Linked DNA regions of Anolis sagrei. The protein of the gene in region 1 purifies or fractionates together with the protein of each later gene. This does not show direct contact. Links are inferred from orthologs where the notes say so. Each region holds a gene or a part of one and is shown on either strand. Other genes may lie near its edges.

The links.
Region 2: the proteins of ISG15 (region 1) and UBE2N purify together in Homo sapiens (affinity purification with western blotting; 3 studies listed by BioGRID, with this or other methods). This does not show direct contact. The link is inferred for Anolis sagrei from reciprocal best matches to the Homo sapiens genes ISG15 and UBE2N.

What each region holds. Positions count from the first base shown.
Region 1 is NC_090034.1:47,507,289-47,514,292, forward strand, and holds the start of ISG15 (ubiquitin-like protein ISG15), read right to left. Parts: upstream 3,010-7,004; 5' UTR 2,837-3,009; intron 2,807-2,836; 5' UTR 2,776-2,806; coding exon 2,773-2,775; intron 1-2,772.
Region 2 is NC_090025.1:154,604,238-154,612,031, reverse strand, and holds the start of UBE2N (ubiquitin-conjugating enzyme E2 N), read left to right. Parts: upstream 1-4,779; 5' UTR 4,780-4,885; coding exon 4,886-4,915; intron 4,916-7,794. UniProt on the Homo sapiens protein: The UBE2V1-UBE2N and UBE2V2-UBE2N heterodimers catalyze the synthesis of non-canonical 'Lys-63'-linked polyubiquitin chains. This type of polyubiquitination does not lead to protein degradation by the proteasome.

The sequences.
Region 1 (7,004 bases):
ATTATTTATTATTTAATTGTATTATTATTATTATTATTATTATTATTATGATTTTACTCTATTATTACATTTATTATTTTACTCTATTCTGTTACTAGCCGTCCCCTGCCACGCGTTGCTGTGGCCCACATGGGGGTTCTGTGTGGGAGGTTTGGCCCAATTCTATCATTGGTGGGGTTCAGAATGCTCTGTGCTTGTAGGTGAACTATAAATCCCAGCAACTACAACTCCCAAATGTCAAGGTTTCTTTTCCCCAAACTCCACCAGTGTTCACATTTGGGCATATTGAGTATTCGCGTGGAGTTTGGTCCAGATCCATCATTGTTTGAGTCCACAGTGATCTTGGGATGTAGGTGAACTACAACTCCAAAACCAAAGGGCACTGCCCACCAAACCCTTCCAGTATTTTCTGTTGGTCATGGGAGAACTGTGTGCCAAGTTTGGTTCGATTCCATCGTTGGTGGGGTTCAGAATGCTCTTTGATTGCAGGTGAACTATAAATCCCAGAAACTACATCTCCCAAATGTCAATCTTTTTTTTTTTTTTTTTTGCTTGAAGGACATACATTGGGTTGTTAGGTGTCTTGTGTCCAAATTGGGTGTCATTTCGCCCACTGGTTTTTGAGTTCTGTTAATCCCAAAAACCAACATTACATTTTTATTTATATAGATTATTACATTTACAACTGGGTTGTTGTAAGTTTTTCGGGCTGTATGGCCATGTTCCAGAAGCATATTCTCCTGACGTTTCTCCTGCATCTATGGCAGGCATCCTCAGAGGCTGTGCAGTCACAACCTCTGAGGATGCCTGCCATAGATGCAGGAGAAATGTCAGGAGAGAATGCTTCTGGAACATGGCCATACAGCCTGAAAAACAACCCAGATAAATAATGATGTTGTACCCCACCTTGAGCAGCAAGGAGAGGTGGGTAATATATTTGGCAGTGTAATCCACTTTGCCCATGTTTCTATGACCAAACCAATCAGGAAATGACATTTCTAACCCAGGAACATAAACTGTGTTGCATAATGATATTATTATAATCATTATTGTTGTTGTTTATGAATAATTTGGGAGGATTGTTGTAGGTTTTTCAGGCTGTATGGCCATATTCTAGTAGCATTCTTTCCTGATGTTTCGCCTGCATCTGTGGCAAGCCTAGTTTAAAAAAAATCTGAATAAAAATAATTAAATAAATAAATAATAAAATGTAATAATAGTAATAAATAGTAAGATAAATCCTAATAATACTAATAAATGATGTAGTAATACTAATAAACTGAAAATAAATCATAATTAATAATAGTCAATATGAATAATAATATAATAATAGTACTAAAAATAGCAACATTACACCTACCTCCAACAGACAAGAGTTCTTTCTCCCAGCCTGGACATTCCACAAATATAGAAACCCAATTTTCCTAGATTCTAACAGACCTCACAACCTCTGAGGATGCTTGTCATAGATGCAGGCGAAATGTCAGGAGAGAATGCTTCTAGAACATGGCCATACAGCCCAAAAAACCTACAACAACCCTGTGATTCTGGCCAAGAAAGCTTCGACAATTTGGGTGGAATTTTTTTTTGCCCATGGGTTCATCTTGGATTCAGGCTTTCTACACTGCCATATAAAACCGAGATTATCTACTTTGAACTGGATTATATGGCAGTGTAGACTCAGGCCCCTTCTGCTCTGTCATATAATCCAGGTTTATGTAAGAAGAAAATCCACACTATCTGCTTTGAACTGGATTATATGGCAGAGTCGACTCAGGCCCGTTCTGCACTGCTATATAATCCAGGTTTATCCAAACTGACAACCACACTACCTGCTTTGAACTGGATTATCCGAGTCTACACTGTCATATAAAACCCAGATTTACTACTTTGAACTGGATTACATAGCAGTGTAGACTCAGGCCCCTTCTGCTCTGTCATATAATCCAGGTTTATGCAGGAAGAGAATCCACACTACCTGCTTTGAACTGGATTATCCGAGTCTACACTGCCATATAAAACCCAGATTATCTACTTTGACCTGGATTAAATGGCAGTGTCGACTCAGGAACCCTTCTGCACTGCTATGTAATCCAGGTTTATCCAAGCTGACAACCACACTACTTGCTTTGAACTGGATTATCCGAGTCTACACTGGTATATAATCCGGTACAGAGCAGATAATCTGGATTTTATACGGATTTTATATGAACGGGATTATCCGAGTCTACACTGCCATATAATCCGGTACAAAGCAGATAATCTGGATTTTATATGAACTGGATTATCCGAGTCTACACTGGTATATAATCCGGTACAAAGCAGATAATCTGGATTTTATATGGATTTTATATGAACAGGATTATCCGAGTCTACACTGCCATATAATCCGGTACAAAGCAGATAAACCTGATTTTATATGGATTTTATATGAACTGGATTATCCGAGTCTACACTGCCATATAATCCGGCAGATAATCTGGATGTTATATGGCAACGTAGTGGGGGCCTTAGCAGCCCTACATTGGCAATTGGTGCTCAATAGGGAATTGTCACGTTTCCTTCCAGTGACGCGTCTACACTACAGAGTTAACGCAGTTTGGTACCGCGATGAACTGCCCTGGCTCAAGGCGATGAGGTCTTGGGAGTCGTGGCTTGAAGCGAGCCCTTCGCAGGCCTGGAGCTGGGCCAAGTGAAGGGGAGCTGCTGCTTCCTCCTCCTCCTCTGCCTTTCCCCACTGACTTTCAGTCCCTGGGCAAGAGCGTCACTCACCATGGCTGGATTCGAACTCGCAATCTTCCGCTCCGCTCCGCTCCGCTCCGCTCTGCTCTGCTCTGCTCTGCTCTGCTCTTCTGCCTCCAATCGCGCCTCCCGTTCCCGAAGTGCCGGGCGTCTGACAGGCGCGCCTTTTATGCGGCTCCTCGGGGGTGGGGGGGGGGCGGGGGGAGAGCAGCCCCCGAAGCGCGCGGCGCTTTCCGTTTCCACCCGCGGAAAAACGAAACTCAGGCAGGAAAACGAAACTCCTCCTCGGGCTCAGCCAAGCGAGCTCACTTAGTCCCGAGTCTTCCTACTGTTGGGTTCACGCTCCTGCTCCTGCTCCTGTTGTTAGGATTGCTTTTACTATTAATCAGAATTACTCTCCGGATTTAGTTTACTATCTATTATTACATTATAATTATTAGTACTCGTATTTATTTTACTACTTATTACTATTATTTTAGTATTAATAATGATATTATTATTATTAGGATTTATTTTTCCTCTATTACCATTATTATAGCATTAATAATAATGATTATTGATTATTAGGATTTATTTTCCTTTTAATACTCTTACTATTACATTATTATTACTATAAGGATTTATTTTCCTTTTAATACTCTTACTATTACGTTATTATTACTATAATGATTTATTATACTATTTATTACTACTACTAATATATTAATATTAATAGTAACGATTATTATTAGGATTTATTTTCCTTTTATTACTATTATTACTATAAGGATTTATTATACTATTTTTACTACTATTATTATATTAATATTAATGATTATTAATTTTAGGATTTATTTCCCTTTTATTACTATTATTACATTATTAATATAAATGATTATTAATTATTATCAGGATTTATTCCTATTATTATTAATTATTATTAGGATTTAGTTTACTATTTATTACTTTTTATTACATTATTATTAATATCAATTATTAGGATTTAGTTTACTATTTATTTCTATTATTATATTAATTATTATTAGGATTTATTTTCTTTTTCTTATTAATTTTAGATTATTTATTATTAGGATTTATTTTCCTTTTATTTTATTTTTTATTTTTTTGTCGTGTCAGGAGCAACTGCTCCTGTTGTGAGAGTTGCCCAGGGGACGCTTGGATGATTTTTGATGCTGTATCATCCTTGTGGGAGGCTTCTCTCATGTCCCCGCATGAGGAGCTGGAGCTAATAGAGGGAACTCATCCGCCTCTCCCCGGATTCAAACCTGCGACCAGTCACTCTTCAGTCCTGCCGGCACAAGGCTTTAACCCACTACACCACCGGGGGGCTTTTTATTCCTTTTATTCCTTTTATTACTATTCTTACATTATTAATATAAATGATTATTAATTATTAGGATTTATTTTCCTTTTATTACTCATATTAATTATTATTTATTAATGTTATTAGGCTTTAGTTTATTACTATTATTATATTATTAATATAATTTTAATTATTAGGATTTATTTTCTTTTTATTAATATTAGATTATTTATTATTAATAGAATATATTTTACTGTTTATTACATTATTATTCATATTATTATTAGGATTTATTATACTATTGAGTCTTGACTAGTTTACTATTTATTATTTTTATTATTATATTATTATTAATATTAATTATTATTAGGATTTATTTTACTATTTATTCCTATCATTATGTATTGTCGAAGGCTTTCATGGCTGGAATCACTGGGTTGTGAGCTTTCCAGGCTGTATGGTCATGTTCCAGAAGCATTCTCTCCTGACATTTTGCCTGCATCTATGGCAGGCATCCTCAGAGGTTGTGAGGAAAATAGGAAAATTGGGTTTATATATTTGTGGAATGTCCAGGGTGGGAGAAAGAACTCTTGTCTGTTGGAGGTAGGTGTGCATGTTACTGTTGTTGTTGTTGATGATGATATTAATATTAATATTTATTTTCCTTTTATTACTATTATTCTTACATTATTATTTATTAGTATTATTAGGATTTATTTTACTATTTATGTACTATTTATTACTATTATTACCTTTTTATTATATATTATTTTATTATGATTGTTTTTACTATTTGGTATTATTATTTGGATTAATTTTTTCATATTAATTTTTTTCATATTAATTTTTATTGTCGTACCAACTTGTTTTTTCTTATTCAATAACACCAAAAATACAGAAAAGGGGGGGGCAAGCAATCAAGAGGGGTGGGGGGGGGGAGAAGGGAAAAGGAGAAACAGAGGCCAAAAAGGAATAATGGGACAAGAGAAAAAATAATTATAATAAAATAGATGTACAAAAGGGGGAAAAAGAAAGAAATGGTAGAAAAGAAATGAAAAAAAACAAACAAACCATAGTTTGGTTGGACTTCCATCTACTCCTTGGTGTTCCTTCTATATATTCTTCTTTTTATAGAGGCACCAGGCCCTGTATTATCCTTCCCTTCTCTTCTTTCTTCCCCTTATCATGTTACTGACTTATTCTTCGTCTAAATTATTGTTGTTATTAAGATTTATTTTATTATTAATAATAATTACTATAAGGATTTAGTTTACTATTTATTATAATTATTACATTATTATTAATATTCATTATTAGTACTAGTATTTATTTTACTGTTTATTACTATTATAATATTATTAATAATATTAATGATTAAAAATTATTAGGATTCATTTCCCCTTTATCACTATTATTACGGCATTATTAATAGTAATAATTATTAATTATTAGGATTTATTTTCCTTTTATTACTCTTATTAATTTTTTTTACTATATAGTTTACTGTTTATTACTATTATTACATTATTAATAATTATAATTTTTATTATTAGGATTTATTTTCTTTTTATTATTATTAATATTAGATGATTATTATTAGGATTTATTTTAGTGTTTATTATTACTTCTATTACATTATTATTATTATTATTATTATTATTATTATTATTATTATGGAGCCCCCGGTGGTGCAGTGGGTTAAACCCCTGTGCCGGCAGGACTGAAGACTGACAGGTCGCAGGTTCGAATCTGGGGAGAGGTGGATGAGCTCCCTCTATCAGCTCCAGCTCCTCATACGGGGACATGAGAGAAGCCTCCCACAAGGGTGATAAAAACATCAAATAATCTGGGTGTCCCCTGGGCAATGTCCTTGCAGACGGCCAATTCTCTCACACCAGTAGCGACTTGCAGTTTCTCAAGTCGCTCCTGACACGACAAAAATATTATTATTATTATTATTATTATTATTATTATTATTATTATTAGGATTTATGATACTATTTACTTGTTTACTCTTTATTTCTTTTTGTTATATTATTATTTTTATCATTATTATTATTTATTAGGATTTATTTTACTATTTATTGCTATCATTATGTATTGTCAAAGGCTTTAATGCCCGGAATGCAATATTCCTGCTTCTTGGCAGAATGGGGTTGGACTAGATGGCCCAGGAGGTCTCTTCCAGCTCTTTGATTCTCGGATTGTGTGAATCACTGGGCTGTTGTGAGTCTTCTGGGCTGCATGGCCATCTTCCAGTTCTCTCCTGACATTTCACCCTCATCCATGGCTGAAGCATCCTCAAAGATTGTGAGGTGTGTTGGAAACTAGGAAAATTGGGTTTCTATCTTTGTGGAATGTCCAGGGTGGGGGAAAGAACTCTTGTCTGTTGGAGATAAGTGTGAATGTTGCTATTATTAGTACTACTATAATGTTTTTATTCATATTGACGATTATTAATTATTAATTATTTTCATTTTATTAATATTATTACATCATTATGTATTAGTATTATTAGGATTTATCTTACTATTTATTTACTATTTACTTACTATTTGGTATTATTATTATTTGAATTTTTCATATTAATTTTTATTTTTTCATATTAATTTTTATTGTCGTACCAACTTGTTTTTTCTTATTCAATAAAACCAAAAATACAGAAAAGGGGGGACAAACAATCAAGGATTTAGTTTACTATTTATTATAATTATTACATTATTGTTATTATTATTATTATTACATTATTATTAATATTATAATATTATATTATATTAATGTAATATAATATTACATTATTATTAATATTCATTTTTAGTACTAGTATTATAATTATAAATAATTATAATAAAATAGATGTACAAAAGGGGGGGAAAAAGAAAAAAAATGGTAGAAAATAAATGAAAAAAAACAAACAAACCATAGTTTGGTTGGACTTCCATCTACTCCTTGGTGTTCC
Region 2 (7,794 bases), on another chromosome or scaffold:
TATTTCTTCCTAACAAGATGGATGAGGTCCTTGAAATATAGTTAGATTACAACTCCTTCCATCTTTTGCCGCTCTCTATGGTATCTAGGGTTGATGCAATTTCCCCTGCAACAACATTTCAGTTGATATTGTTGTCCGCTTCACAGGCGGTGGGGGTATTTTATTTTGAGTAGCAGGACCATATTTGCTGAAAGAAGAATGTATTGGTTTATAGGCTAAATGTGAATATATTGTGAAAATGGTGATATGGTGATATGTACAGTTCAACAGTTGCATTGTGCAATGATGTGGACATATCTTGGAAAAGTAATGTTCTCATCCACTCTGTTAGGGAAAAACAGTTCAGCATTGCCCTTCTAAAAACAAATGAACAAAAAAACCAAAAACCAAATTGCTATCCATTAGATTCTGTCACAACACCATTCCCGGGATGTAAGAAGTTAAAAGGGAAAACTGTTTGATCCTCTTGGCATTTACTCAAGTTACACTCTTGCGTTCAAATATATTTTCACCCATTCAAGTATTTAAGACAGTTGCCTAAAGTAGCCAAGAAATACTAATCAAGTTCAACTTTTAACTCTCATACGGATCCTTTGTAGTACTTCTTAAAATACAAACCAGCCAGGCAGCCGTCTTAGGAAGCTGTATCCCTTCTGAGAAGGCTCGAAATTGAAATGACCTTTGGAATCTCACATTACTGAAACTAACCTTGCTCCTTTACATGATCTCAATGGCACACAAGAAACGGAGGCTGTTTTCAATGCAAGTGTGATAAGAAAAACGAATAAAGGATAAGAATGTAATGGTGACTGAACAGAAATGCTCGTACATATGTCTAATAAATAGCAGTAGGTCTTTAGAAACTGGTGTGGGACAAAGGTAGAAAGTGTTCCCCAGTGTAGTTTGGTTGGGACCTATATGAAAAAACATGATTTAATAGATGACAGACAACAGGCCTGGTAAATTGAGGGTCATTAACAGTTTTTGAAAATTATCCACATTTACAGGAGTTTGGCATTACAAATCGCAAAGTGAGCTAACATTTATTCACAACTAACTTTAATGCTTTTATTTTGTAACATGTAATTGAGTAAAATTTCATTGGGAGAAGAATAAGAAAGTGGTTAAACTTTTCCAACAGGTTTTCAAAAAACTTTAATTGGATATGAAACATAAAAAGCTGTTCAAAATCATTCAAACAAATCATCAGTGCTTACAATCGAAATTGACTGAATTTTAAAAAATAATGAATTTGTGAAAGACTTACATGGTATGACATTTTATTGTGTTTTGTTTGAATTCAGCATTTTAAAAAAATGTGACAATATTGAAAAAAAATAATCACAAGCCTGTGTAATGTTTGGGAAGGCAATAGAAAAAGCGGAAGACCTTATTACAGATGGATAGACCCTATGAAGAAGCATTTGCAGGATCAGAATAAGACTTGGGGGTCTCTCATTCTTAAGATCACCATAAGTTGAAGTTGACTTAATGGCAGATAACATTGCTTGAGCGACTGAGGGGGAAAGGGAAAGGGGGACAGGGAAAGGGCCTGAGGCTGTTAGGAATGGTGGGAGTTGCAGTCCAAAACACCTGGAGGGACCAAGTTTGCCCATGCCTGGTATAGAGTGTATATGAAATATGAAAAATTGTGTTTAAGTTTGGCTCTCATCTCCAAGATATCCCAGAACATTGATGAAAATATCCCAACATCCAAAAAATCGCAAACATGTCTGAACTCAAGCATTTTGGATAAGTGGTATTCAACCTATATATGTATCTGTACATATACGTCCATAGTGCTTGGCTTATGTAGCACATAGAAATGCCTACAACATAAGTGTACTTTGGGGCCAATCTTGCTCACTTACACACATGCATCTGATATAAACTTTATGACAATGCAGTCTAAACCAAACAGTACTATAAAATAGCAACCAAATTTTAAAAAACTGAAATATTACAATCAGGTTATTTAGTGCATTGCTGGTGGTAATTTAATACTCTGTATGTATTTTTCAGTCTGTCATATACTTTTTATTTTGATACTGCTATTGATAGCAAATAGAGGGATAAAAGGTGGAAGCAGTGACAGACTTTGTATTTCTAGGTGCAAAGATTACTGCAGATGCAGACTGCAGCCAGGAAATCAGAAGACGTTTGCCTCTTGGGAGGAGAGCAATGACCAATCTCGATAAAATAGTGAAGAGTAGAGACATCACCCTGGCAATGAAGATCCACATAGTTAAAGCAATGGTATTCCCTGTAGTAACCTACGGATGTGAGAGCTGGACCATAAGGAAGACTGAGCAAAGGAAGATAGATGCTTCTGAACTGTGATGTTGGAGGAAAATTCTGAGAGGGCCTTGGACTGCGAGAAGATCCAACCAGTCCATACTTGAGGAAATAAAGCCCAACTGCTCATTGGAGGGAAGGATATTAGAGGCAAAGATGAAGTACTTTGGCCACATCATGAGAAGAGAGGAAAGCTTAGAGATGACAATGATGCCGGGGAAAATGGAAGGAAAAATGCACTTTAATACTGATTTAGGATTGTCTACGTGCCCTCATCTTTCTTTGAAAACCCTATCCTAGTTTACCTTACCTTGTTTCATGCCCAGCATTTTTAAATTTTAATTATTACATTTGGCCCGGCCATAGGTTTTTTAATGCTCTATGTTATTGTTACTGTTTATTGTGTATTTTTTGTTTTGAGTTTTTATTTCAACTGTTTGTATTGATTGTTATCGCTTTTATTTATTGATGTGCTGTGGGCTTGGCCTCATGAAAGCCGCACTGAGTCCCTTGGGGAGATGGTAAGGTAAAGGTAAAGGTAGTCCCCTGACATTAAGTCCAGTCATGTCTGACTCTGGGGTGTGCTGCTCATCTCCATTTCTAAGCCGAAGAGCCAGCGTTGTCCGTAGACACCTCCACGGTCATGTGGCCGGCATGACTGCATGGAGCGCTGTTACCTTCCCGCCGGAGCGGTACCTATTGATCTACTCACATTTGCATGTTTTCGAACTGCTAGGTTGGCAGAAGCTGGGGAGATGGTAGCGGGGTACAAATAAAGTTTTTTTTTTAAAAAAATATTATTATTATAAAAAGGATGAGGGGCCGACCAAGGGCAAGATGGATGGATGGTATCCTTGAAGTGACTGGCTTGACTCTGAAGGAGCTGGGTGTGGTGACGGCTGACAGGGAGCTCTGACGTGAGCTGGTCCATGAGGTCACGAGGAGTCGGAAGCGACTGAACGAATGAACAACACACTGCTATAGTGGCCTCAGAGAACAAGGTAACACAATCAAGGCAGTGCCTTATGTGTGTTAGATCAGTTTCCACTGGCATAGCTTGCATATAAATTAACCAAAACTGTTCAGCTGGCATACAAAGACAGCACCTTCTGTCCACATTCGCTGGGACTGGGGCACTAGGGTTAAGCGCCTGAAGGGGAAAAGAAAAGAGCCTGAGGCTGTTAGGAATGGTGGGAATTGGGTGATAGTATGATAGCTGGGTCCGGAAGCTCTGAGCGTTATGCACATTTTGCAAGAGTGGTTGTGAATAAGAGAAGGGACCACGTAAGGGTAGAAGGCTAGAAATGAGGGGAGGGTTGGGATGAGGTTTAGGGTTAGGTCAGAGGCGGCCCTAGGTAATTTTCAACGGTAAGCAAACAGTATTTTGGCGCCCCCCCCCCCCCAATCACTGATATATATTTTCTGTTCATCATGGGAGTTCTGTGTGCCATGTTTAGTTCAATTCCATCATTGGTGGAGTTCAGAATGCTCTTTGATTTTAGGTGAACTATACATCCCAGTAACTACAACTCGCATATGTCAAGGTCTATTTTTCCCCAAGAGCGCCCCTGGGCAAAATCAACTATACTGAGAATGCTTACTTTGCGTAATGGGTTGAGCCGCCCCTGGGTTAGGTTTTAGGTTAGGGTAAGGATTGGGCATAGGGTAATGTTAAGGTAAACTTTAGGGTTAGGATTAAGGGTTAGGTTTAGGGTAAGATTTAGGGTTAGGGCAAGATTTAGGGTAAGCTTTAGAATTAGGGTTTGCGTTAGGGTTAGGGTAAGGTTAGAATATGCTTTAGGGTTAGGGTTTGTGTTAGGATTAGGGTAAGGTTTAGAGTTAGGTTAGGATTAGGGGTTAGGTTTAGAGTTCGGTTAGGGTTTTACCATTAAAGAACTCTTATATTCCTTCTGTAATATCGCGTTGCGCATTCAGCGCTCCCGAAGGATCGAAGTAGAAACAGCGTTAGGCTCGGAGCTTCCGGACCCAGCTATCATACTATTGGATTGCTGTAGTTTTTTTCGGGCTATATGGCCATGTTCTAGAGGCATTTTCTCCTGACGTTTCTCCTGCATCTGTGGCAAGCATCCTCAGAGGTAGCACTACATCTGAGGATGCTTGCCACAGATGCAGGAGAAACGTCAGGAGAAAATGCCTCTAGAACATGGCCATATAGCCCGAAAAAAACTACAACAGCCCAGTGATTCCGGCCATGAAAGCCTGCGACAATATATCATACTATTATCGGGAACTGAAGGCCAAAACAACTGGAGGGCCTAAGTTTGCCCATGTCTGCTCCAGCCTGCTCCTCCTGCCAAAGAATGCCGGCGCCTCACCAAACTACAACTCCCAGGATCCCACTGCAATGAGGCAGGGCAAGGAACTGCCTTGCCTTGAGCCCGCGCGGCCTTCCTTCCGCCTTCCTTCCAGGCGCCCTCGCGCCCCGCCGAGGACTCCCTTTCCCGGCGTGCGTCGGGGCAGCGGCCCAGCGGGTGACGTCGCCGGAAGTGAAGAACGGACTCCTTCCGGCAGCGCGTGAGCCCCGAGCGGAGCCGAGACCCAGCGGAGCCTGAATCCCCGATAAGACAAGATGGCCGGGCTGCCCCGCAGGATCATCAAGGTAGGTCGGCTTCGCGCCCTCGGCCTCACCGTTCTCGCCTGAGGCCTTCCGCGCAGGGAGACAGGCCTCTTGGGCCTCTCGGCCGGGCCTTGGGCCTTGGGCGGAGAGGAGCCCTGAGCCGGGACTCAGCGGGGAAGGCGGCGCTTCCGGTGCCCTCAGCTGGCCTTGCCTCTTGCGCCTCTGCGAGGCCTGAGGGCCGCAACAGGGAGAGTGGGAACGCGCCGCCATTTGAGGCGGGCGGGCAGTCGGGCAGGTGGGAGTGACCGCGCGGACGGAAGGAGGGAGCTGCGAGGGAATGAATGGCCAGGCCTGCCGCCTCTCTCTCTCCCTCCCGCCAGCCTTCTCTCGCTGCCCCTCTGCGGTGAAGGGAGGCGGCTCTGTTTGTGACTCAAGGACGGGCTGGAATGGCGGGGAAATGCCGCAAAAGGCGCACCAGATGATGCCCTCAGCGCCCAGGCATTGCTCCGCCAGGGTGAGGAGGGCCACTCCTTGCCCGCTTCGCCCACAGAATCGCCGAGTTGGAAGTGACCCCCGGGAACACACGCGCCAAGCACTCCCGACAGATGGCCATCCAGCCTCTGCTTCAAAACCAGACCCTCAATTTGGGAGGAGAGGCGTGGCCGGGTTTCAGTCATGACCCAGGAGCGCCTCTTAGGCTCCTTCCAGACAGGCCCTATATCCCAAGATCGGATCCTAGGTTTTCTGCTGTAAACTGGATTATATGAGTCCGCACTGCCAGAATTTTTTTTTTTACGTGTCAGGAGCGACTTGAGTAACTGCAAGTCGCTTCTGGTGTGAGAGAATTGGCCGTCTGCAAGGACGTTACACAGGGGACGCCTGGAAGTTTTTGGATGTTTTACCAGTCATGTGTGGGAGGCTTCTCTCATGTCCCAACATGGGGAACTGGAATGGATAGAGGGAGCTGAACCCTCTCTCCCTGGTTGTTTTGGCCTTCAACTCTCACCATTCCTAACAGCCTCAGGCCCCTCCCATTTTACTCCCATCACTAGTACACATTTGTGGTTTTGACTTCTCTAGATTTGATTCAAATGTCTTCCCTAGGAATTTCCAGCTCCCAGGTGACCCTATGGTTCATACCTTTTTGTCATGCTGGGAGACCTAGAAATTTATAGTGAGGACATCTCTCAAGGGGAAAGCTTGTTTTCCACTGCCCTAAAGACCAGGAACAGGAGCAATGGATTCCAGCTGCAGGAAAAGACATTCCACCCAAACATTTGGAAAAACTTCCTGTTGGTGACAGCTCTTTTGCAGTGGAGTATGGTCCTCAGAGCGTGATGAAGTCTCCTCCTCTGGCCATCTGTTGGGTGGCTTTTATAGTGTGTTCCAGCATGGAAGAAGGGGGTTGGACTGGATGGCCCTTGGGGTCTCTTGCAACTTTATGGTTCTGTGAAATGCCATAATTCCGCAGCAGCGAGCCATGGCAATCAAAGCGATGTCAAACTGCATTCCTTCAACAGTGCAGATATACTCATGGCAAGTGGATGTAGACACTGTGTTGTCAAAGGCTTTCATGGCTGGAATCACTTGGTTGCTGTGAGTTTTCCGGGCTGTATGGGCATGTTCCAGAAGCAGTCTCTCCTGATGTTTCGCCCACATCTATAGTAGGCATCCTCAGAGATTGTGAGGTTTGTTGGAAACTAGGCAAGTGAGGTTTATAGATCTGTGGAATGTCCAGGGCAGGAGAAAACTCTTATCTGTTTGAGGCAAGTGTGAATGTTTCAGTTGATCACTCTGATTAGCACTTAATGGCCTTGCAGCTTCAAACCAAAGTATTCTGCAAGGGCATTGCACAGGGGGCACCCGGATGTTTTATCATCCTTGTGGGAGGCTTCTCTCATGTCACTGCATGGGGAGCTGGAACTGACAGAGGGAACTCAGCTCGCTTTCCCCTCATGCGAACTATTGACCTGTCATTCAGCAATCCTGCTGGCACAAGGTTTTAACCCAATGTGCCCCCTAGATGTGGGTGAAACATCAGGAGAGAATGTTTCTGGAACATGCCCATACAGTGCAGAAAACTCACAGCAACCCAGATTTAGACACCTTTTGAGGGCCCTTCCAGACAGGCCATATATCTGATCTGAACCCAGCTTTACTATTTATCCCAAATTATCATAGCACTCCATGGCACAATGAGTTAAACCCTTGTGCCAGCAGGATCGCTGACTGACACGTCATTGATTTGAATACAGGAAGACTGGGTTGAGCTCCCTCTGTCAGCCTCAGCTCCCCATGCGGTGACCTGAAAGAATTCTCCCATGAGGATGGTAAAACATCTGGGTGTCCCCTCGGCAATGTCCTTGCAGATGGCCAATTTTCTCGCACCAGAAGTGACTTGCAGTTTCTCAAGTCGCTCCTGACATGAAACAAAAACCCACATCTATGGCAGGCATCCTTAGAGGTTGTGAGGTTTGTTGGAAACTAGGCAAATGCAAACATAGGATTCTCCCAGGCAGGAAGCAACCAAGCTTTGAAGCTGCAAGGCCATTCAGTGTTAATCAAGGTGATCAATTGCACCATTCACACTTACCTCAAACAGACAAGACTACCTTGGACATTTCACAGATATATAAACCTTACTTGCCCAGTTTCCAACAAACTTCACAACCTCTGAGGATGCCTGCCATAGATATGGGTGATACTTCACGAGAGAATGTTTCTGGAACGTGGCTATACAGCCTGGAAAACACACAGCAACCCAGTGATTCCAGCCATGAAAGCCTTTGGCAACACATTGTCTAAATCGGCTTGCTAAGGGTATATCAGCGCTGTTGAATGAATTCAGTTTGACACCGCATTGCCATGGCTCAGTGCTGTGGAATTACGGCATTTCATAGAATTATAAGGTTGCAAGAGAC